Linked DNA regions of Struthio camelus. The protein of the gene in region 1 purifies or fractionates together with the protein of each later gene. This does not show direct contact. Links are inferred from orthologs where the notes say so. Each region holds a gene or a part of one and is shown in the gene's direction. Other genes may lie near its edges.

The links. The genes of interacting proteins can lie anywhere in the genome.
Region 2: the proteins of SRC (region 1) and PXN purify together in Homo sapiens (co-immunoprecipitation; 4 studies listed by BioGRID and IntAct, with this or other methods). This does not show direct contact. The link is inferred for Struthio camelus from reciprocal best matches to the Homo sapiens genes SRC and PXN.

Annotation. Positions count from the first base shown.
Region 1 is NC_090959.1:7,546,637-7,556,667, forward strand, and holds the start of SRC (proto-oncogene tyrosine-protein kinase Src), read left to right. Parts: upstream 1-5,173; 5' UTR 5,174-5,200; coding exon 5,201-5,278; intron 5,279-6,696; exon of another isoform or gene 6,697-6,776; intron 6,777-7,356; exon of another isoform or gene 7,357-7,516; coding exon of another isoform or gene 7,517-7,567; intron 7,568-10,031. UniProt on the Homo sapiens protein: Non-receptor protein tyrosine kinase which is activated following engagement of many different classes of cellular receptors including immune response receptors, integrins and other adhesion receptors, receptor protein tyrosine kinases, G protein-coupled receptors as well as cytokine receptors.
Region 2 is NC_090958.1:7,822,423-7,832,823, reverse strand, and holds the start of PXN (paxillin), read left to right. Parts: upstream 1-5,925; 5' UTR 5,926-5,940; coding exon 5,941-5,978; exon of another isoform or gene 5,979-7,007; coding exon 7,008-7,180; exon of another isoform or gene 7,181-7,302; intron 7,303-7,579; exon of another isoform or gene 7,580-7,720; intron 7,721-8,146; exon of another isoform or gene 8,147-8,287; intron 8,288-9,822; coding exon 9,823-9,936; intron 9,937-10,401. Other genes in the region: SIRT4 (NAD-dependent protein lipoamidase sirtuin-4, mitochondrial), read right to left, coding at 1,048-1,200, 2,357-2,651, 3,424-3,923, 4,315-4,326. UniProt on the Homo sapiens protein: Cytoskeletal protein involved in actin-membrane attachment at sites of cell adhesion to the extracellular matrix (focal adhesion). Recruits other proteins such as TRIM15 to focal adhesion.

The DNA of each region.
Region 1 (10,031 bases):
GGCCTCCGGGATGAAGGGAACTGCTGGGGGAGGCTTTTTTGGAGAGGAGGGGCGAAGCGGCAAACATTTCTGTTCCCTACCTTCCCCCCACTTACTTAGTTCAGTTTAAATTGAACGTAGATCCAAACATCATATGGTTTAAATTTTACAGACTCAGACTTTGGCTTCCTTAGCCCATCCCTCGCTCAAAGGACCAACACTGAATGATGAGTGGGAACCACCCTTGTGTCTGTTGGAGCTCCATTTGGCACAGGCTGCAGTCACTAATGTGACTGCGAGCAGCCCTGCCCTCGCAGGAACAGCGCCCCGGGGACTTCTCTGCTGTCTGAGGAATGCTACAGCCCAATCTGCTCTGCACACACACCCCCTTGTGCTCCAGGGGAAGGTCAAGTTGATGCGGCTACAAGAGCTTTGAACTACCCAGTGATTCCTGCACTCGGGAGGAATCCCCAGCTGCTCTGTTAGCAAAGCAGCTGGAAAGAAAGGCTATAAATCTCGTCTGTACAGTTTTCCATGGGCTTTTCTGAACTGCTCGTTTCTGTTGACACTAAGACTGGCCAAAAAGCAGAATTTCTACCACTAGGAAATGCCGATGTTTTGTTTGTGGCTTTTCTTCTAAACTGAGGCAAAAAGTGAAAAGTGTAGAATTTTTGTCTGAATGAGCTATTCCGAAATACCTAATTCTATTCTGATCAAAATGTTATATTTTATCAGATATAAAGCGGACATGAAATGCTGTGACTGTATTGAACGTATAGGTAATTGCCTTCCAAAGCTGTTGAAGAACTCTGGGGCTTCTCCCCAAACATTTACATTCCACTAAGTGAGTGTTTTCCAGCCACCCATTCCCCGAGGGAATTTTGCACTGACACTACCGGACTTGTGCAGCTTCAGAGCTGGGGTAAGAGCCTGTTTCGCCTTCCCCCAGCCGACGGACGTGGCAGACTGTCGCCACACCGAAGGGCACGGCAGGTCTTGAGCTGCCACCCGCCCACCGACCCCTTTCCTCCACCCGCCCACTGACCCCTTTCCTGAGCGATGTCCTGAGTCCACTTGGTGACTTCCTTTCAACTGCCCTTTTTTATCATACAGCCCACCAGACGTTGGCAAGCAGTTCTTGTCGCTCTGCTCTTGCGGACCTGATGCTCAGTGCAGGAGAGAATGGCCAGAATCAGATTCTGCGACGAAATATTGCCAAATGGCTTGTACTGCAAGAGCTATTCTCCTCAATTCCCCCTAGTAAATCAGCCCCATAGCTCATAACTGCGGCTTTCCTAATGGATCTGGTCGTTCTCATCGTTTGCTGTCGCACACGCTCACTATTTGCAAGACTGTAAAGTTCAATGATCGTAAATTCTTAGGGAAAGAGCCGTTCCCGCTTCTGCCTCTGCCCAGCAGCTTGAACACAACTGTTCTATTATTAAGAGTAATAATTCGGGCAAATGTGTTTGGATTTTGCAGTGAATAAAATGCAAGTGGCCTCAGGAACAGGATCCATTAAACAAAACTCATTCACGCTTGCCAAGGAGATGCTTAAAAATAAATCTGTTTGGAGATGAATAGATGTTTTGTCGCAAAGCCACAGCTACAGTTTGAGGTCAGGACACAGATCGATTATTGGGCCCCAAAAGCATCCTCTTGCTTTACAAGAAGATTTTCCGAGTCTCGCGGAGCAATTCGATGTGGCTCATGCCGCGTTTTGAGGACCTCCCCGCTGAGGGGCAGGGTGCCGCCGCGCAGCCCCGGCCGGCTGGGAGAAGCGGGGAGCCTCCGGCCCCGCTGCGGCGCGCTGCAGCACGGCGCACGTAGGGCCTTAGACATCAGCCGGGGAGCTCTCTCCGCCGATGTTGACGTACATCAACGGCTACCGGTGATGTGTACACCTGACGGCAGTAACAAAGAAACCATATACTTATTTACTCCATTAACCTGACAGCGCTCTGGGTATAGTGATTGTCATTCTTTTTTTTTTTTTTTCCTGCTAAAGATCAGCAGGAAAGCAGGAAAATGCCTATGCACATCTTAAAATGATATTCTAACAAGCGATCAAGATGTGCTGTAATAAGCGAGACAGCAGAAATATCCAGTGATGCTTTTTAAATTTGCCGGTGACTTTTTATCTCTGTTTCAGCCTCGCTCTATAACCCTTCTCCCCTCTCCAGTACGGGTTTGATTGGTGCTGTTTAAAAGCGAACGGAAATAAAACATCTCAAGAAAAAAAGTTTCAGGTAAGACATTAAAACCCTGGGTTGGGTAAGAAGGATCTTGTTTTAGACTGTTTAATGAAAAATATTTTGACGGCAGTTGTCCTTCAGTCTCAGGAGTTTGAGTCTGATTCAAGAAAGCACTCAAGTGTGTTGAGTTGCTTAAACTCGAATGAGTTTAAATTGCATTATCGCCAATACCGGGTGTTTAATGTCAGTGTTGCGAGGGCACATTCCTGAATCAGAGCCCAGAAGATAAGGGGCTGGTTTTTGAGGGTATCTCTTTGCCATTCTAGATTTGCCCGTTGGTGTCTTCATCGAAGGAGCGACTGTGCCGCGGCTTTGGTACAGCGTGTTCGAAGGCACAGGGCTTTCTGCTGTTCGCCTTTGAGCGACTGGCCGGCCCCGCCAGAGATGCAAAACGCGATTGTGGGACAGCCCGCAGGAAAGGAGTTGATTGCAAAAGAGGAAAACAAAATCCAAATATGTATAAGTCATCATTGCATCTCAGCTTTGGGTCTGGATCCGGCAGAGGCTGAGTTCAACCGGTTCCCCCAGGGCCTGGGGCCGAGCCCGTCGCTCTCCCCGGGGCGCTGTTACCTGCCGGAGCAGCTCCCCGGGACTTGCCGGCGGCCGCCGGAGCGGGCGGGAGAGGAGCGCGTCCCCGGGCCTTCGCGCAGCCCGCCGTACCGCCAGGCAAGGAGCGAGCAGGCGCGCTGAACCGCAGCCCCTCGCTCTCCAGCAACCGCCCGCCGCTGCCGAGCGCCTGCCGGTGCCCGGCCCTCCGAGGCGCTGGGAGGGAAAGGGCTGGGCTTTTCCGGCCAAGCGCAGCTCCTACGGGGCCTTATCAGCCGAGGCGCTCCTGCCAGGGCAGGGCCCCGCGCGGCGCGGGCCGGGGTGATGGAGCCGCGGGGTGCGTGACTCCTCGTTCCTGGTGACTCATGGATTCGCTGGCCTTCAGCCGTGTCATGGGAAATATTTGTTTAATAACTTAACAAGAACAAGGCGGGGGGGGGGGCAGCCACATTGTTTTCTGAAACTCGTTAGCTTTTCAGATCGTTTCTACAGGGTCAGATCTCGCTGGGACTTGCGGCGTTTTCGAAAAGCCCCTCCTCGGTGGCTGCAAGGGCTGGCGGGGAGGGCTGGCCGGCGGGGCCACAGGCGGGCGGTTGGCTGCAGCGACCCAGCCAGCGGATTACTGTAGTCCGCCGCCGACCGAGCGCGCCTCATAAAACAGCGACACGGGTGGCAACCGACTGCTTCACCCAATTTCTTCCCGCAGGATAAAGTGACAGGGAACGATTCAGCGGGCTGCTAACGGGAGCTGGGGGAGGGCTGAGGCAGCGCTGCCCGGCAGCCTCGACGCCCGCCGCGGCGCCAGCAGGCCCCTGGGCAGGGGCCCAGAGCGCGGCGGGGCGCGGGCTCCGCGGCGCTCCCCCCGGCCCGGCCCGGCCCGGCCCCGCGGCCGCCTCGCGGAAGGGGCGCTGCTCGGGGCCGGGGGAAGCGCCGGGAGACTCCTCAAAACCCTCGCCGGGAGGAAGGTACTGATGAACGTGTTTCGGGCAAGCGAACGGAGGGAGCGGCGGGGCAACGGTCGCCTTCGTGCTGCGCGTTCGGCCCTCCGCTTCCCCTTAGCCGCTCGGCAGCACTTCTGCTCCAGGCGGGCCACTTCTCCAGGGCAGGAGGAACCGGCGCCGACTGAGAGCGGGGGCCTTCCCCACCACCCGTCGCCACCGTCCCCGCCGCGGCTGAGCCCGGCCGCGTTGCTCCAGCCTGCGAATTGGGGTGGCGGATCGCGCGACGGAGACGAGGACAGCCGCGCTGCCACCACCGCCGAGGGCGTAACCTGCGGCGGCCCAGGCGCTGCCACCCTCCCTGTCGGCCCGTCCCGGAGCCGGCGAGGACGGACGAGGCAGAGCGGCGCCCCGCTCGCGCGCGCCCGCCCGCCCACCCGCCGCTCCGGCCGCCCTCGCCGCTCCCCCAGGGCCTTACGGCCACACGTGGACTGGCTTTCTCTCTGCCTTTTTTTCTACGCTAAAGTTTTGCCACCTTTTAAAATATCAGGAGGACGGATTTTAAGCCGTCCTGCTATCGCCAGGCGTCTCTGCCGAGGATGAAGGGCTTAGGCGCGAGCGCGGAGCTGTGACAAAACAGCTTCGCTCCCCGCTATGTGCTGTTTGTTAGAATTGCCTAATAAAGCGAAGGGAAAATAGCCAGATTTTGACCACTCTGAAAACCCCTTGTCTCTCCGTCACCAGCTCTGGTTCCCGGTAATACGCTAGCGCTGGCAGCCCCGCCGCGGAGGGGCAGCCCGGAGGGCGAGGCGAAAGGCCCGGGCGAAGCCCCTCGCCGCGCCGCGCCGCCTCTGGGGCCCCGCGGCCCGGGCCGCCGCCGCCGCCCCCCCGGGGGGCCGGGGGCGCTGCCCCTGGCGTGACCGGCGGCGCCGCGCCCGCTCCGCGCCCGCGCAGCCCGGCTGCCCGCAGCCTTCTCCCTTTAAAAAAAAAAAAAAAAAAAAAAAAAACCACCACCCGAGGGGAGGGGCTGCTGCTTTTTTTTTCCCCTCCTATAAAGCCGTTTCCGGTTTGCTGCCATATTCCTCTTCCCCCCCCCCCCCCCCCGTGGGTCGTCCCCCCCCCCCCCCAACCAGAGAAGGGGTGAGCGGGGGCGGGCGAGGGAGCAGCGCGCCGGATCCGCGGCGCTCCGCGGTGCTGCCGGCGGCGCAGCCCTGAGCAGCCGGCCCGGCCCGGCCCGGCTCGGCGCGGAGCGCAGCGGAGCAGAGCGGCGCGGGGCTGCGGCGGCGGCGGCGGCGGCCCGGGCACCAGAGCGGCGGCGGCGGGTGGCGGCGGCGGCCGCGCCCCCGGCGCGGAGACAAAGCGGGGCCGAGCACGCGCCGAGGTGAGCGGGCTCCGGCGGCGGCGGCGGCGGCGGGGGGATGTCCGCAGTCCGGCTCGGGGGTCCGGCTGGAGACGCCGGGGCGGCGGCGGGGTCCGGCCGGGATGCTGCCGCTGCGGCCGGTGGCTCTGTGTCCGGCTGCGGATGGCCAGGTCCCTCCGGGCGGCTCTGGGTCCGGCCAGGTCGGGCGGCTGGCTATGGGTCTAGCTAGGTCTGGTCAGGTCCGGCGGGGTGCTTGTAGGTCCAGCTGGATCTGGGCGGCTCCGTCTGGGCGCCTCGGGGTCTGGGCAGGTCCGATGGGGCGGCTGTGGGTGCAGCTGGGCATGTCCAGGTCCATCTGGGCAGCTATGGGTCGGGCCACATCTGGCTGGGCGGCTGTGGGTCTGGCCAGGTCCGAGAGGACGGCTGTGGGGTCCAGGCAAGCTGCACCGCCTGCCCGCGATCCCCTTTGTTGTGTTTGGGGGCTGCGGGGGACCCCCGGGAGCGCAGGGCGGGGAGAGCGGGCTGTATGTAGGCCAGGACATGAAATATTCATCACCCCCCCTGCTTTGATGTCTCTTGATCCACTTCCCTCGTAGCGTTTGTTCACCGGTAATTCTGGGGGTCATGTCCAGCTCTGACGGACCCGGAGGACCCTGTTAGGCCAAGGCTGTTTTCTGTGCCCTTTCTCCTGGGCTGCCTGGGATCAGCCTGGTAGGAAGCTGCAGGGCCCTGGATTGCCTGATTAAAGGCTTTATCCAGCCTGGAAGTTCCCCTGTTGCAGCCGGGGTGATGCACCCCGATGGGCGTCTGCGAGCAGCTACGCTGCTGCGTCCCCACCGTCTCTATGACAGCCCCTGGCGCCACGGGAAAGCGCCGTAGCCCCGGGTGCCCGAGCCAAGCTGGAGCCGGGGTGGGCTTTCCTCCTTGCCTCGCTGCCTGCCATGCCGGGGAGGTGCCCACCGGCCGCGCTGCCGGGTCGCGGTGGGATGCGGGGCTCCCGCGCGTGCCGGCCGCAGGGCGAGCTGCGGGGCTGGGGCCCGCGGGAAGCGAGGCGCGCGTGGGGCGAAGGAGGACGCGGCGTGTCTGGGCGCTGACTGTGGCGTGCTCGTGTCTGGTACCGAACGGTCTCTCGGAGAACTTTTGTGCAGCCTCCTGCAAAATCATTTCCGCTGCGTTTCTGCTGCGTTTCTGCGTGCGCTTCGCCGGCCGCGTGCCTTGCGCTCTTCCCCCGTCACCCTGCCCTTCTCCTGCCTTGTCCCCTCGGCCCTGCTGCACCAGGGCTCAGCCCTGCTGCTGTTGGAGCGGATGTGACCGTCGGTCCCCGTGCTGGCCCCCTCCCTCCGTTGCTGTGAGAAGTCTTAGGGCTTCTGAAGCCGCTCCTGCTGGGGTGTTGTGACCCGTTATTGCGGTCATCCTTGAGGTCCTGTCCCCATGCGCCGCGCGAGCTCTGGCTTGTGCCTGGGGACGGCGCTACCTGCGCAGCGGGAAAGGGACAGGAAAGCACACGTTCAGCAGCGCTGCGTGCAAACCCAGCCGCGCGAGCCTGGCAGGGAAAGGGTTGGTGGGGGTTTTCTCCCTCCTCCCAGCCTGGTGCTCCCCAGAGGAGAAGGTGTAGAACAGGCAGGAAGCTGAAGCGTGTGTGCAGCTTTTCTCTAACCTGCTGAGGTGCCCGCAGGCAGCAGTGACTAGCGCCCAGGCGTGAGTACTAGGTCATGACAAACTCCCAGAGACCAGCGCTCGATGCTGGGAAAGCCGCTCGTCTCTGCCAAGCTCCGAGTTCCCCGCCGGCCCGCGGTGACTCTACGAGTGCCGAAGCCCCCGCGTAGGGCACGGGGCGGGCTCGGACCTGGGCTGGCCGCGCTCTCCTGGGGAGGCGTGAGGGCCGCAGACGGCTTTGCCGGCGCGTGCCCCCCACCAGAGATGTGACTGTTTGGGATCTCCGGGATCAGGCGTGTGTGCTCCCTCCCGAGGGAATTGTCTCTGCAGTCCTGAGCTCGTTTTTCAGAGGAGGGCACCTTTGCTTACAATACAGGGGTCAGTGTCCACCTCCAGGTTTTGACCCGGGAGTCCGAGAGCAGAGACTCACCCTTTCACCTTACAGTCAGTAGCTCCACTGAAACGCAGCCTGGTGATTTGGGAGCCTGGGTTATTTATGGGCTGACACAGTCGCTCAGGGAAGTCCAATGTTCCCTGTCTAGATCGTTAGTGGCCTTGCAGTGCTCCCTGTGTGATGGAGATGCTCTAATGATATCTCTGCCCTGTAACGATTTTGTCCCAGAGTGATGGAAAATCATCTAGGTACCGTGGGGAGAGAGAAAGGAGCGTCCAAGTACCGAGCTAGAGAGCTGGGAGGTGGAAGATGAAAGGGAAGAGCTGCAGTTTGCAGCGACCAAAGTACGTGGAGGCTCTGCTGGGGGGACAAGAAGCTCTGTTGCCCCATGGAGGGGACGTCAGCAGTCACGCAGCCTCCCCGAGGCGGGGGCTGGCGGGTATGTATGCACTCTGGACCCCCCAAGGGTTTTGGTTTGTTTTGGGTTTTTTTGCAGAGTCGGCTCTCTGTGCGTCCCTGTGTGCATTTTGGGGGAAGTGGCGTCTGTTCAGTGGGTTCGCCCTGGGCCAGGAAGGCTGGACGGGACCGTGGGGCTCCTGCGCGTCTGAAACCGCGTCGGTCCTTCCTGCTGCGCTAGCTGCTCTGCTGAGATGTTGTCCTTGCCTGCCAATCTCCCCTCGGGGTCCCTGGCTCCCTGTGGCAGTCGCGTTCGTGGGTGGCGTGAGGGCTTTCGGCTCTTTCACGAGGGGTTTGCTCAGCCTGGCTCGCTGGAGCCCTCTGATCCGTCCGAGCGTCGCTTTGCAGGTTTGGCAGCGCAGAAGCGCCAGGAAGGAAAGCTGCCGTGTGGCACCGAGGTGGCAGGAGCCACTTCTGCTCCCCGAGGCGGGTGGTGGCATGGGCTGGGGAGACAGCCCCATCCCCAGGCCCTGCTGGGGCTACCGCCGATAACGGGATTAAGTCTGGCCTTTGAGTCACTCAACTCTTTTCTAATGAGACTTGAAAGACTTGGCCCATAATGTCTTATTTTAACCACCGACAAATACGTGGAGCGAGATAAAAGGTTGAGCAAGCCCTGGGCTGAAGCAAACAACTTCGGCTCCATAATCTTTTAGTCTGTGTTTCCTTGCAGCATGTGTAAGGCAAAAGAAAAAAAGGAAAAAAAAAAAGAGCATTGCTCCTATGAAGTGCTGTGTTCTTGGCATCACTAGGGGAAATTTGAAAGACTATCTAAAGCTCTATTGTTTCCTGTACTGTCTATTTTGCAGCTTGGTTTCTAACTTGTTCCTTTATCTCTCAGAACAATTTCCCATATGACCTCACTTCCTCAGCACTTTGCGTCTCATCTTGGAGCCCGACTGGAAATTCGTCCAGTGCAAAGGGCTGGAAAAGGCTTCGGCTGGTGCGAAACGGCCGGCGCAGAGCGCGCGTGCCCGGACCGTGGGCCGCGATGCTCTGCCCAGGAGCCGTTCCTTTAATTCGATGCCCTAAAACCAGCTTAAATCTCTTTGCGTGGAAATAACCATCCTTGTAATGCTCTTCATGTGACTCGGGCTCAGACTGTCACTGTTTCCATTCCAGCGTAGTCCTGTTTTCTAAGGCTTGTAACTCCGGGTCGTTGAGAATAATTCCCTCTGGGCTCGCGTTTTGCCGAAGTCTCCGACTATGAGCAAAAACGTGGAATGTGTTGTAGTGCTATTTTAAAGCAAGCTTCGGAAAGAAAGTAATGACTTTGGTCCTGGATGTTTTAAGTTGGCGGTGAGCCACGAGATAGTCCGCTTTAGGAGAAAGGAGCAAGTAATTGACTGAGCGTGGCTAAATCAGAGCTGGCTTGAGCCGACGTTCGAGCGTACCCAGGCCCTAATCCTTGCTTTTGCTCCGTGCTGGCCCGACTGCCCGTCGGTGCAAGGCCCCGAGCAGGACTGGGTGCAAAGGGAACCAGCGATGCTCTGCGCCTGCCTCTGTTCAAAGCACGATTTGAAGATAAAGCCCTGAAACAGGCACAAATGTGATTTGAACATAGGCCAGGACCCAGCACCTGCAAATCTGCACCTTGCACTGATTCCTCTTGGGTCTAGGTATGTCCTCACTGTCCCCTACTTCCCACCAGGAAGGGAGGGCGACGCGGGGTCGGGAAGCGAGTCCGGGACGTGCCGGGGGTCGGCGAGGCGGCTGTGCCTGCCCGCTGCGGGTTCCTGGAGCGTGCCTGGCGTCCTGGGCGCGATTCGGGGCGTTGCACCTCGCAGCGCGGAGCCGCGGCCCAGGGGAAGGGGCAGCTCGGGGGCCGGGCTGCGAGCGGCCCGTCCGGGGTGCAGCGCCGGCGGCTCGGGCTGGGCAGCGTCGCCCCGGGGTGCGTCTGTGCTCCGGGGTGCTGGGGCATCGGTGAGGGCTCCCGACGAAGCAGCGCTGCGGTCAGGGGCGATGCAGCGCTGGCAGGGGGCCCGGGGAGGAGAAGCCCCGGGAAAGGGGCACATCTGCGATTTTTTTTCCCCCCCCCTTCTTCTTCAGACCTTCAGGAAATGGGGCTGCGGGCCTGAACGCCGCAGCTGCAGGCTGCCGTGCTTTCATGGGGAGATGCGATAAGCGGCCGAAGGACCCACAGCCTTGCGTGAGCGGTCCGAGAGCTTATCTCGGGGCTGTTCCCGGGTGAAAAGGTTTGGATCTAGGGGAGGAAGATGAGGAACCACAACGCTGCGGACCACAGCCGGCGGTGATGCTGTCCCGCGTGTACAGTCCCTCTGGACCCGTGCCCACGGCCGCTCACCACCCTGCGTCCCGGCGGCTGGGTCTCTCACAGCCCGCTTAGGGCTAAGCCCTGCGTGGGCACCAGCTGCCTGCCGTGCCCGGACCTCGCGGGCCGCGTGCGGAGGTGCCGGGTCACCCCGAGGCCTGGCTGGCCCCGCTGC
Region 2 (10,401 bases), on another chromosome or scaffold:
TCTCTGCAGGCCCTGCAGTCGCCTGATAGTGTCAGTGGATCCCCCAGCTGACAGAGTGGTGTGCCATCGCCCTCCTGTGCTCTTCTAACTTGTCAAGTTACTTGAACTCTCCATCCCTCATTCTTCTCTTGGGACAATTATAAGAAAAGTATTGTTCCAGATACAGAACAGAATTCTGGTCATTCTGTCTCAGTGAATGCAAATAAAAGGCACTTTACAATGGCAGGGTAAGGAAGGAGTTAAAAAAAAAAAAGAGAGAGAGAGAGAGAAGCTTTTTCACCATCCCTCGGTTCCCTGGTAAGCCTAAGCGGGGATGATTTCAATGCAGAAAACCGGTCAGGTTGGCATGCGCGAGGCTTGCTGCCCTCTCCTGGTCTCCTCAGGGGCTATGCATTGGATTTCACAGCTGCCTCTTAGGTTGAAGTATTTCCGCTTTTGAGATGATGGGTCCTGCAGGAGTGGAGGGAAGAAGCTGCTTTATAGATGGAACTGGATATTTTAAACAGCAGTGTTCTGATTAGCTGGATTAGTTCAACCAGGCACAGCTTTCAAATCATCAATAAGAGTCACAGCAACTTAACAGACCTTAATGAATCTGTGTATTACAAAGACAGACTGTAGCATGTAATGGCAACAGTGCTAATCTGGCACTCTGAGTCTGCAGCTTATCCCATGTAGTTTTCTGATTGTGAGAAATGGATGCGATTGCGACACTGCTGAGTTTTCTGGCTTCCCTTGCCCAATTTTTTGTGGGCGTTTGTACCCAAGCAAATGCATATGCTTTTTGTTTATGATCACAGGAAGCAGCATCATCGCCCAGCAGAGCGTACCAGTTACAGATGAAAACTTACAGGCAAGTTTTGATGCCCGTTATCGGAACATATTTTTCGTCGGCACATCTCAGTCTCTTTCCTGGCAAGATGGCTCGGCATTTGATGGGTATTTGAACAGGGCTGATCTCCTTACCCTGCAAGGTGACTAAGCAGGGCAGGTACTCACCTTGTAAAAATTTTACTCCTGAAAGCCACTGATCCTCAGCTTCTTGGGTCAGTGTATGTCAATCAAAGGCAGCAGCTCCCCACAGCGGGAATTCAGTTTCAGGGATGCAAAGTGATCTAACCTGGTGGGCCCAATGTTAAGTATCACAATTGGCAGCTTCTTCTCCCGGGCAGCAAGAGCAAACCTGTAACCAGAGTATACCTGCATGAAGACACAGAGACAAAATGATCAGCAGAATAGAAAAAGAAAAGCTACAGAAAGGAATAATGAAAGCAAATTTGTTGTTGGTATTGGGGAAAAGGGCAGTATATACATGCTGTGTTATGTGACTGCACTTAATTCCAGCAGGAAATGTCTTTATTCAGGCGTGCACAGAAAAGAACAGCAGCTTTTAACCTATGTCAGTGAAGGGTTTTACCACAGCAAATACGTACATTGAAGGAAAATGTCCTTGTCTTTCAGTAAATCTCCGCACCGGCTTTTATTAGTTACCATAGGTACTTAAATGCTTCTACTTTGATGGGTCTCACGTGGTCCAGCTTAGGAAGTACAAGAACGAACCTGAGGCATTTCAGTCATTCCTGTACAAAGGATTATGAGCTCAAGGAGAGCAGGCTCAAGGAATTTGTCCCCTAGTATCCTGAAGCCAAGAGAATCACAACAGGACTTGGTTTTTATCTTGTTCTGGGAGGCATTAGAGTAGTTTTTCTTAATGTACATTAGCATTTTGTAATAGAACCTTGCTTCCAGAAAATATCAATTACACAAACTGTGTTCCAGAAACTTCCCCAGGTTAAACAACAGAGGTTTTTAGACCACCTTATCTTATAGATAAGACGTGGCTAATGGAGAAAGACTGTGAAAGAAAGGACAGTCCTAAGTGACAAGCAGAGATTTCCTGTTGTCTTCTGCTTCAGCAGTTTAGTTAGGAATTAGAGGTCCTAAAATCTGGTATTTTACACAGCATGCCGCGAGGCCTAAGAAGCTGCCAAAGGCGAAAAGCTCAAGCAAAGAAATGTGGGGTGGTGATCTATACAGGGCTGGATTGTGTCAGGTATCCTGGCTCTGCAGGCAACTGTGGACCTATATAGCGATAGAGAGGACTGCAGGGAGAGGTCAGAGTGTGTGAACGGAGTTATTTATAGCAGCTTCAAGGAGATCAGCACTGGAGTGACAGGGAAGCCCAAACAGAGCAACTGTGAAGCCAGATTCCAAGGCCAGTAAAAATACCAAGAAGCTCTGGAGAGGCTGTAGATCCACCTGTCTGCAAGCAGTAGTCCCATATTGTGGGACCAAGGACTGCTGCAGGCAGAGTAGCACAGAAAGAGAATCCAGTATGGGAGGAACGTCCGGTTACCTGCATGGAGGATCCTGCCACCAGCACGGAGTCTGATTCCGCCAGGCGTTGGTGCACAAAATTCACTTTCTCCCGGCTCACTGTGTCTCCAAAGAACGTCACGTCAGGCTTCAGGATTCCACCACATTTACTGCAGGCTGGCACTTGGAAATTACGCACCTGCTCGTCTGTCAGGAAGACATCTCCATCGGGAGCCACACCAAGCGCTTCAGCTTTCCAGGTAGGGTTCAGAGCTTCAAAGTGCACCTGCAGCTCAGAGCGCAAGGTTTGGTCTCCACAGCCCAGGCAGAAAACCCTAAAGTGCAGAACAAAGTCTTAACCGAGAGCTTCATGTCAGCTGAGCCTCTGGAGTCAGTAAGCTGTTGGTTGGATGGCCTGTTGTTACTGTCCGCACTTATCCACCAAATGGCACAGGTCAGTGGACTGTCTGTCTACCTCTAGTTGAGACAATCAAATGAAGAGCTTTATAGAAGAAAAAATATATATATAATTACACCTCAGAAAGAAACCAACCCATGCCAGCCAGGCAGTGGTCCCCACCTCCAGAACTTGTTGCTTTGCAGGGATGCTCTAGAGGAAGCCTGCTGTGCCTCCTCTCTTGCAGTCACTCTGTGCCTTTTCATGTGGAAACTTTGGGCAATCACAAGCAGACCGTGGTGGCCCCTCTCCAGTACACCCACCCTCTGTTTTTCTGGCACTACCCGCTCTGCTCAGCCCAGGTAATTATTCCTTGCATCCTCAGGATCCTCCTCTTCACCTGAGCAAAGGATATTTGCTTTAGCAAGGAAAGGTGAGATTCTGACTGACCCAGCCACTAAGGGAAATGATCCAAAAAGTGCTCCAAAAAAATGGGATGCTGTTCATGCTTATTAAATACTCTGCTGTGAGCAGCACTGATGCGTGACCCTTTTCTGCACCCCCAGCCCAGCACCTTCAAGCATGTCACCTCCAGTAACACTGCACATCTACGTTTTGCCTCCTGGCTCAGCAGCTACGGCTGCACTTGCTGCTTCTTAACCCCAACAAGACACCAGAGCGTTAACCGTCCTCTCTACCACGGAGAGTACCTGTGCGTGCAGCCGTGCAGTTCTGTCATGCGCTGGCTCCCAGCTTTGGTGTGAAGGGCATCCACGTTCTGGGTCACCAGCCAGTGCAGCTTTCCCAGCTTCTCCCAGTCTCTTAGCACCAGGTGTGCTGCGTTCGGCTGGTGGGAGGAGAACTGGGGCCAGCCCACGAAGTTCCTTGCCCAGTACCGCTGCCGGGCACTGGCACTGCGGACAAACTCGGTGTGCTGGATGGGCCGCCTGTCTGTCCTTGCGTAGAGCCCGACGCCTTCAGAGCGGTAATCTGGGATCCCTGATTCAGTCGAGACTCCAGCTCCAGTCATTACAAAGAGCCTCTTGGACTTGGAAACAAAGTGCTGCAGCTCCTCGACTTCCACGGGATCCGGGGGGAGACACTCTGGCACGAAAGTCAAGTTGGGAGAGGTTCTGGATACAACATGGGATCGGAAATGAAGTCTGATGGCTCTGCAACCTCCTGACAACTTCCTGGCAGAGAACATCTTCTGCTAAAAGTAAAGAACAGAACACAGGTAAAAGAAAGCAAAGAGCATGTCCTTAATTCCCTTTCCTTGGGATACTCTGGCAAATAATACTGATAAGTGTTCTTTGTCCTATTTTGTCTTTCAGTAAAGAATTCCAAAGTATTTTGAAAATGTTACTGAAAGCTTACTGCAGGAGGACAATGTTCCTATGCGCCCGTTGCAGGGGGTAACACCGAGGCCTTCCCATGGTGCAAGGACAGAGCTAGCACCCCTGACTCGCAGGGTTCCTGCTCTCCATCCCTGCTGTGAAGGCCTCAGAGGACTCCTAAAGAGCACAGATGGACCTGTGCAGGGCTTTTCCAGGGACGTGCAATAGGCAGAGAGGACAGAGCAGGGAGGGCAAGTACCTCACCCCTGCAGGCATTGTGCGGCTGGTGCCTCCGATTCCTCCACAGAGGAGACTCTTGCTCTACTGTCTCTAACGCATTGCCTGCTCCAAATCAGTCTTTTCAGTTTACCCCATCCTCGGCCTCTCCTGTGGAAAGCAACAACACAGCCACCTCAGCATTTTCCAGAACAGATTGATTCTTCGCGAAACCTAAGCTCCACAGGAGGGCTTAGTCTGGTAGGACTTCCTCTACAGTTCTGAATCATTTGTTGTAATCTAATCAGTGAATTTTATTCTCAGTGATTTTTGTTTTGTTTTCATGTTTAGCATTAGTTGTGTTTGGCCTTTCTTCTGAAGAGGTTTAATTTTCCATGTGAATTAATTAAAAGGGACACAGTTTATTGGGAAACGTTAGCGTGCTTTGAGAATAACATCTGTTGTGATCCTCCCAAAAGGCTGTTAAGCCAGTTTGACAGTGTTTAAATTGCTTGCACTGATGGAAATTCTCCATTTCTGTCACTTATCATCAAAAGAGCTCTCGGAAGAAAATGTTTTGAAGGGGACTGAAATGCAGACATAATTTGGATTGGCCGGCAGGAGAGAGAAGGCGGTATTAGGCACAGCAGCAAAAATACCAGATACATTTGAAAGGTGCTGTGAAGCAAGGAAGTAGGACAGACTAAGAGAAAAACTTAAAAATGACAGAACGCATGATGCAAAACATGAGGCTTCTTTTAAAATGAAGGTGCTCGGATTAAAAAAAAAAACCTTTAATATACTTATCAAGATCCAAGCTAGCGTTTGTTTTTAACACACATCCAAAATCTTTTACAGAAAGAGATCGGTCCAGTTTAAGGTAGAAAACAAACAAGTTTCTATAAATGATTTCAGGCCAGAAAATCAGAGGTGTACCCAGGTCATCCGAATCTCTTTTGCTGCAGTAATGACTGCAGGCGAAAAGGGGCAACAGTCAAACTGAACACGCTTAATGGAAGAAGATATAGTGAACAGGGCCTGAAAACTTACCTTTCATAATGCTGCCGTGGGGGACCTCTGAAGAGAAGAGAGGACCTACCGGAAGAGTAGTGTTCTGGGAAATGTAGTTCAGCAAGAAATTAAAGCCTACAGCAGGAAGACTACAGTTCCCATGCTTCAAAGAGGAGGGGGGGGAAAAAAAACCTTCCTGAAATGTCATAAGAAAGTGAAATGTGAAAAAGCTAAACGCTTCACAGCTGCCCTCAAAGCAACAAACAAGAAGGAAATCACAGCAGTATTTGCTACGTAGGGACTAGCTTTGATAAAGTGCGCTGTAGACACCCGAACGCAGGCAGCTTCCCTTCACTGATGCTAACCTGCCAGCCTTTGGTTTCAGAAAGTGTCAGAACAAATAACAGGAGCAAAGTCCGCTGTGGGCTGTTGAAGACGATGGCTCTTCCGGTTCCAGAACTCCCGGGGGTGTGAATTGCTGGGGCCGCGCTTGCCCCTCGCCCTTCGGCGCCTGCACTCGGGCCCCGGCCCGTAGCGTACCGGGAGGGTGGACTGGTCTTCTGCTGAGCACATTGGGAATGATGGGGAAAAAAGTTGGGGGGAAAAGCCAGGGGAAGGGCCCCCGGCAGCAAGGATGGACGAATAAGGAAAATCCGGTCGGTTATGCGTTACAGTGCGGCCAGACGACCCCCAAGAGGCCGGTGTGTGACAGGTGATCCCCACGCTGCTTTCAGAGGAGGCGTGGATGAAAAAGGGGGCAGGCGTCTGTCTTTCATCTCGTTGGGCCTCTCCCCGGGCACCTTCCTTAGACGCCCTGAAGCGCTTTGACATGAAACCCTTTGCCACCAAAGGGCTTGTCGGTTCCCTACCTCCCTCGCGGGCTCGCCCCGTTGCTGGCCTGACCTGCTTGTCACTCTGCTGATTGTCACCTTCTGCAGCCAGCCTATACGGAGACGATGGTGCTGCTGGGGATGCTGCCGCGGTTCCCATAAAAGCTGTTTCCTTGTTCTCTGGCGAGCAAACTGCTTGGGTTTCACTGCTGGCTTTTGCTGGGCAGCGATGTCCCCTGCCCGTTGTTTCTCCACAGTTTGCGGGAATGCTGGTGTCTTGCTGGAAAGCGGCAGGTTATTGAGATGGTGACATTTTTTTCTGGCCAGCTTGTTGAGCTATTCCCACAGGAAACTGTGTTCCCTAGACCCTGAAAACAGCGGCAGTAGAGGGTTTTTGTTGTTTTCTTTCGATGTTTCTTTTGGGGGTGTTTTTGTTCCTTTTTTGGAAGGCCTTTCAAGTCGCCCTGCTGGGGTTATGAGGGTCTGGAGATAAGGTCCGCTTCCCCTCCGCGTGGCGTAAATGGAGGCATTTTTTCTTCCATTCAGCTGCTGGTTCCCATCTGAACTTCAAGAGCTGACACCGTGTGAGACGCTTACCCCGGCCACGGGCAGCTGCACGTGGCCAGTGGTTGGGGTCGGGTTCGCAGCGGGGCACTGGCACAACCTTTCAGTCTTGACATGCACGTGATAAACCATGACTCGACTGGCACAGGGGGTTATTTTTTCAGGTTTTTAAAGAATGAGCTAGAAGGGGGAAGTGCAGACGGCTGTCCTGCAGCAGCCCAGCACGGGATAGTCCGCCGCGTTGCACCCGGCGGGTCTTTCTGATAACCTGGAGCGCTTTCCACGAGCATCCTCCAGATGGGGCGAGGTTTTAATCCACTTTTCTTGCCTTTGCAGTTACTTCAAAGCACGGAGGAGCCCAAGGCTTTCTGCATCCCTGGGATTTTGTGATCGCAAAGGAGAAGCGCGTCCCGCTTGCGCGGCGCCGGCTTTGCCCGCTGCTACGCGCCCTGCTCCCGGGGAGGGCCGGGGCCGCCGCGGGCCCTTAACCACGGCCTTTCAGCCGCCGCGTGAGTCTGAATGGACTTTAGGTCGTTAGTGCTTATTTGAAGAGTTTCGATGCGTTTTCAGAGCGCTGTGGGGTGGAGGGGGCTGCCGGCAGGCCCTGGCCGAGCCGCCGCGGTCCCCTCCCGGGGGGAGCCCCCTCGCCCCGCCCCTCTCATTTGCATAGTTCCGTCATTTGCATTTCGCGCCCTCCCGGCACCCCCTGCGCGCCGCCGCCGCCGCGCCGCGCCGCGGGGCCGCCCCCGGCGCCCCTCCCGGGGCGGTGGCGCGCGGCGGGGGGGGCGCGCGGGGGCGGCGGCGCGCGGGGGCGCGCGGCGGGCGGCGCGGGGCGGCGGGGCGGCGGCGCGCTCTGAGCGGCGGGGTGGGGCGGCGGGGGCGGCCGCTGGCGGCGGGGGAGGGCGGGCAGCTTTGCGCAGTGGCAGTATCGTAGCCGATGAGGTGAATCCGAGGCGCGATTATTGCTAGTTGAAAACTTTTCCCAATACCCCGCCGTGGCGGCTTGCAATATAGTTGCCACCGGCAATTTTTGAGGGCCTCTTCGGAGGCTGGTTTCACGTGGTTTAATGACAGAGTGTTGGAACAGGGGAAGCGGAGTTTGGGGAGGAAGAGGGAATACGGGGGAGGGGGGGGGCGGGGCTGCGGCTCCGAGGCGCGGTCCGGGCACGGCGCGGTCTGGGCGCGCCCTGCCGCCCGCCTGGCGTCCCGCCGCGCGCCATACGCACCGGCCGCCTGACGTCACGCTGCTTTGCATACTCTTTCCCAGCAACCTCCGCGGCCGCCCCGCCGGTCGGCACTGCGGGGAAAACGGGGCTCTCCTCCGCGCGGCGGGGGCGTGGGGGCGCGGCGGGGCTCGGGGGGCGGCGGCGAGGCGCGGGGCGGCGCGGGGCGGCGGGGCGCGGGGGCGGCGGGGCTCGCCGTGAGCTGGGAGGCGGCGGCGGGGCGAGGGGCGGCGGCGGCGGGAGGAGAGAGTCAGCTTTGCGCAGTGGCAGTATCGTAGCCAATGAGGTTAATCCGAGGCGCGATTATTGCTAATTGAAAACTTTTCCCAATACCCCGCCATGACGACTTGAAATATAGTCGGCATTGGCAATTTTTGACAGTCTCTACGGAGACTGAGTTTTGGTGTGGAAAGACAGAGGAAAGGAATGCACGACAGGGGTTGTCCTCGTGTCGTGGCCTGGGGGGGAAGCGCTCCTGAGAAAGCGCCCTGCGACCTCATCAGCGCCACAAAGGTTTACTGTGTGTGCGATGACACAAGGGCTTTTGTTCCCTCTCGCCGCAGCCGGGGTCTGCCCCAGCCAAAAACATGTTTTAATGATAAATCGAGGGCGCGTTTGCATAAAAAGCCCAGTTCTTGCCTTCCCTTTCAAAGGTGCTGAAAGAGGAATTGATCCGTGAAAACGGGAGCGGAGGGAGTGGGGTGCCGGCGGGTGCCTCTGCCCTGGCTCCTGCTGAGCGGGCTCCTTGAGCAGAGCGCTCTTGGGGGGAGCTGCCGGTCCAAATCGTGCTTGACTGGCTCCCGAAACGCTCCGGCACGCATTGGGGAACCGCGTTCAGTGCGCAGCATCGTTTTGTGCAACGGCTCATTACTGTATAGATCCATCGGCATCACATGCTTTTCTTTATTTTTTATTATTTTTTTTAAAAGAAGACTCCTCACTGTCAAAGAAATCTTAAACCTTTACTCTGGAAAAAAGCAGCTGCTGAGTTTAGTGTAAAATCCTCTTTTTGAAATTAAGTAAACCCCATCTATTTCTAAGCTGCAGCTGTTGTCTTATTTAATACCTCAGTAGCCCCTGCGGAGGGGGACCAATGACCATTGTCCACCAGCTCCCCAGGCCGAACCCTGGCGCTGAGGCTGAAAGCAGCTGCTCTCTGTCACTTCGTGTGAATTAGACGCAGCTTTTATGCTGCTGACAAGTTACCTCCAAAGGTCTCCGGTTGTACGTGCCACCAGGATGCTCATACCCTGCCCGTATGACCCTGAGCTAGGCAGCTGTTTTAAACTACCACTATTGATAACTGAATAAATTATCGGTATTTGAAAGCGGAAAATTTAGTAGCAAATATTAATATTTAGTAGCAAATATTAATATTAATATAATACTTAATATTAAGTATTTGTAATATTCACCTATGCTGGGGCATTATACTCGAGAGTGGCCACAGGATGACTAATGAAACCTCCTAGACTGCATTTGTCCCCATATCTGCACTTAATTGCTATAGCAATGTGAATTCATAATCCACGTGTAGGGATGCCATCACCCTTTCCCAGAATAAACACGAAAGGCCTCTGTCGTTTACAGTGAGTAATACAGTTCATGTAATTACTTGGTTCATACAAATAGCATTAAATATGGCATTTATTACCTGATTGCTTCTTTTCTCTTCGGATGAAGCTGTATCTGTGACAATAGGCTGGAGTGGTTCCTTTGTTCTGTAGTACTAAATCTTGTCCTACATTTTATGCTAGAAACCAAGCGCGTTCCTTTTGCCGTACGAGATCCTTCCGACAAACGTGTAGCGGTCGGAATTTGTGGGGTGAGGCGGGGGGTTGCACGTCTAGGTTCACTGCCTTTTCCTTAAGCTAATGGAAGCATTTAGACTTGATGTATGGCATTTTCTTTCATGCATTCACCTGAAGAAACAGCGACATCCCCCTTGCATGATGTTCCTGTGGCGAAGCACAGAGGACGCAGACTGCAAAGAAGTCGTTCTCATCGCTCTGCAGTTTCGGGTCGCTGTGGAAAGCGCGCAGGTGAGCTCTGAACGCGCCTTACAGGTCAGCCTAGCTTCATAGCTGTTCTCTGACGTAGGTTCAGCTTGCTGCAGGTGAGGGTGCTTTTCCTAACACTGCTAATGAAATAAGCTTGGCTCGCTCCTCTGTTTGGCAGTCAGTCTGAGATTACTGTCCTTGAGCGGACGGGTGGGCAGGTGATACACCTAGCCTCTGCTGAGCACCCGGCGCGGGAAGGTTGGTGGGCTGGGCCACCTTTTCTCTGTGGAGCTGGTGTGTACCTGGTTAGGGATGCTCTGGCAAAGGGGAAAGCGGCCTCGAGTACTGAATGCTTGGGTTGTGCGGAGCCAGGAAGTCCTGAAGCCCAACCTTCAACTGACATTGACTCATGGTCTACGGTGTTTCTAGCTCCCAGCCCTGTTTCCCATCTGGAAGATGAGGATAATTTCTTATGTGTGAAATGTAATGATTCAGGAGAGTCATAAC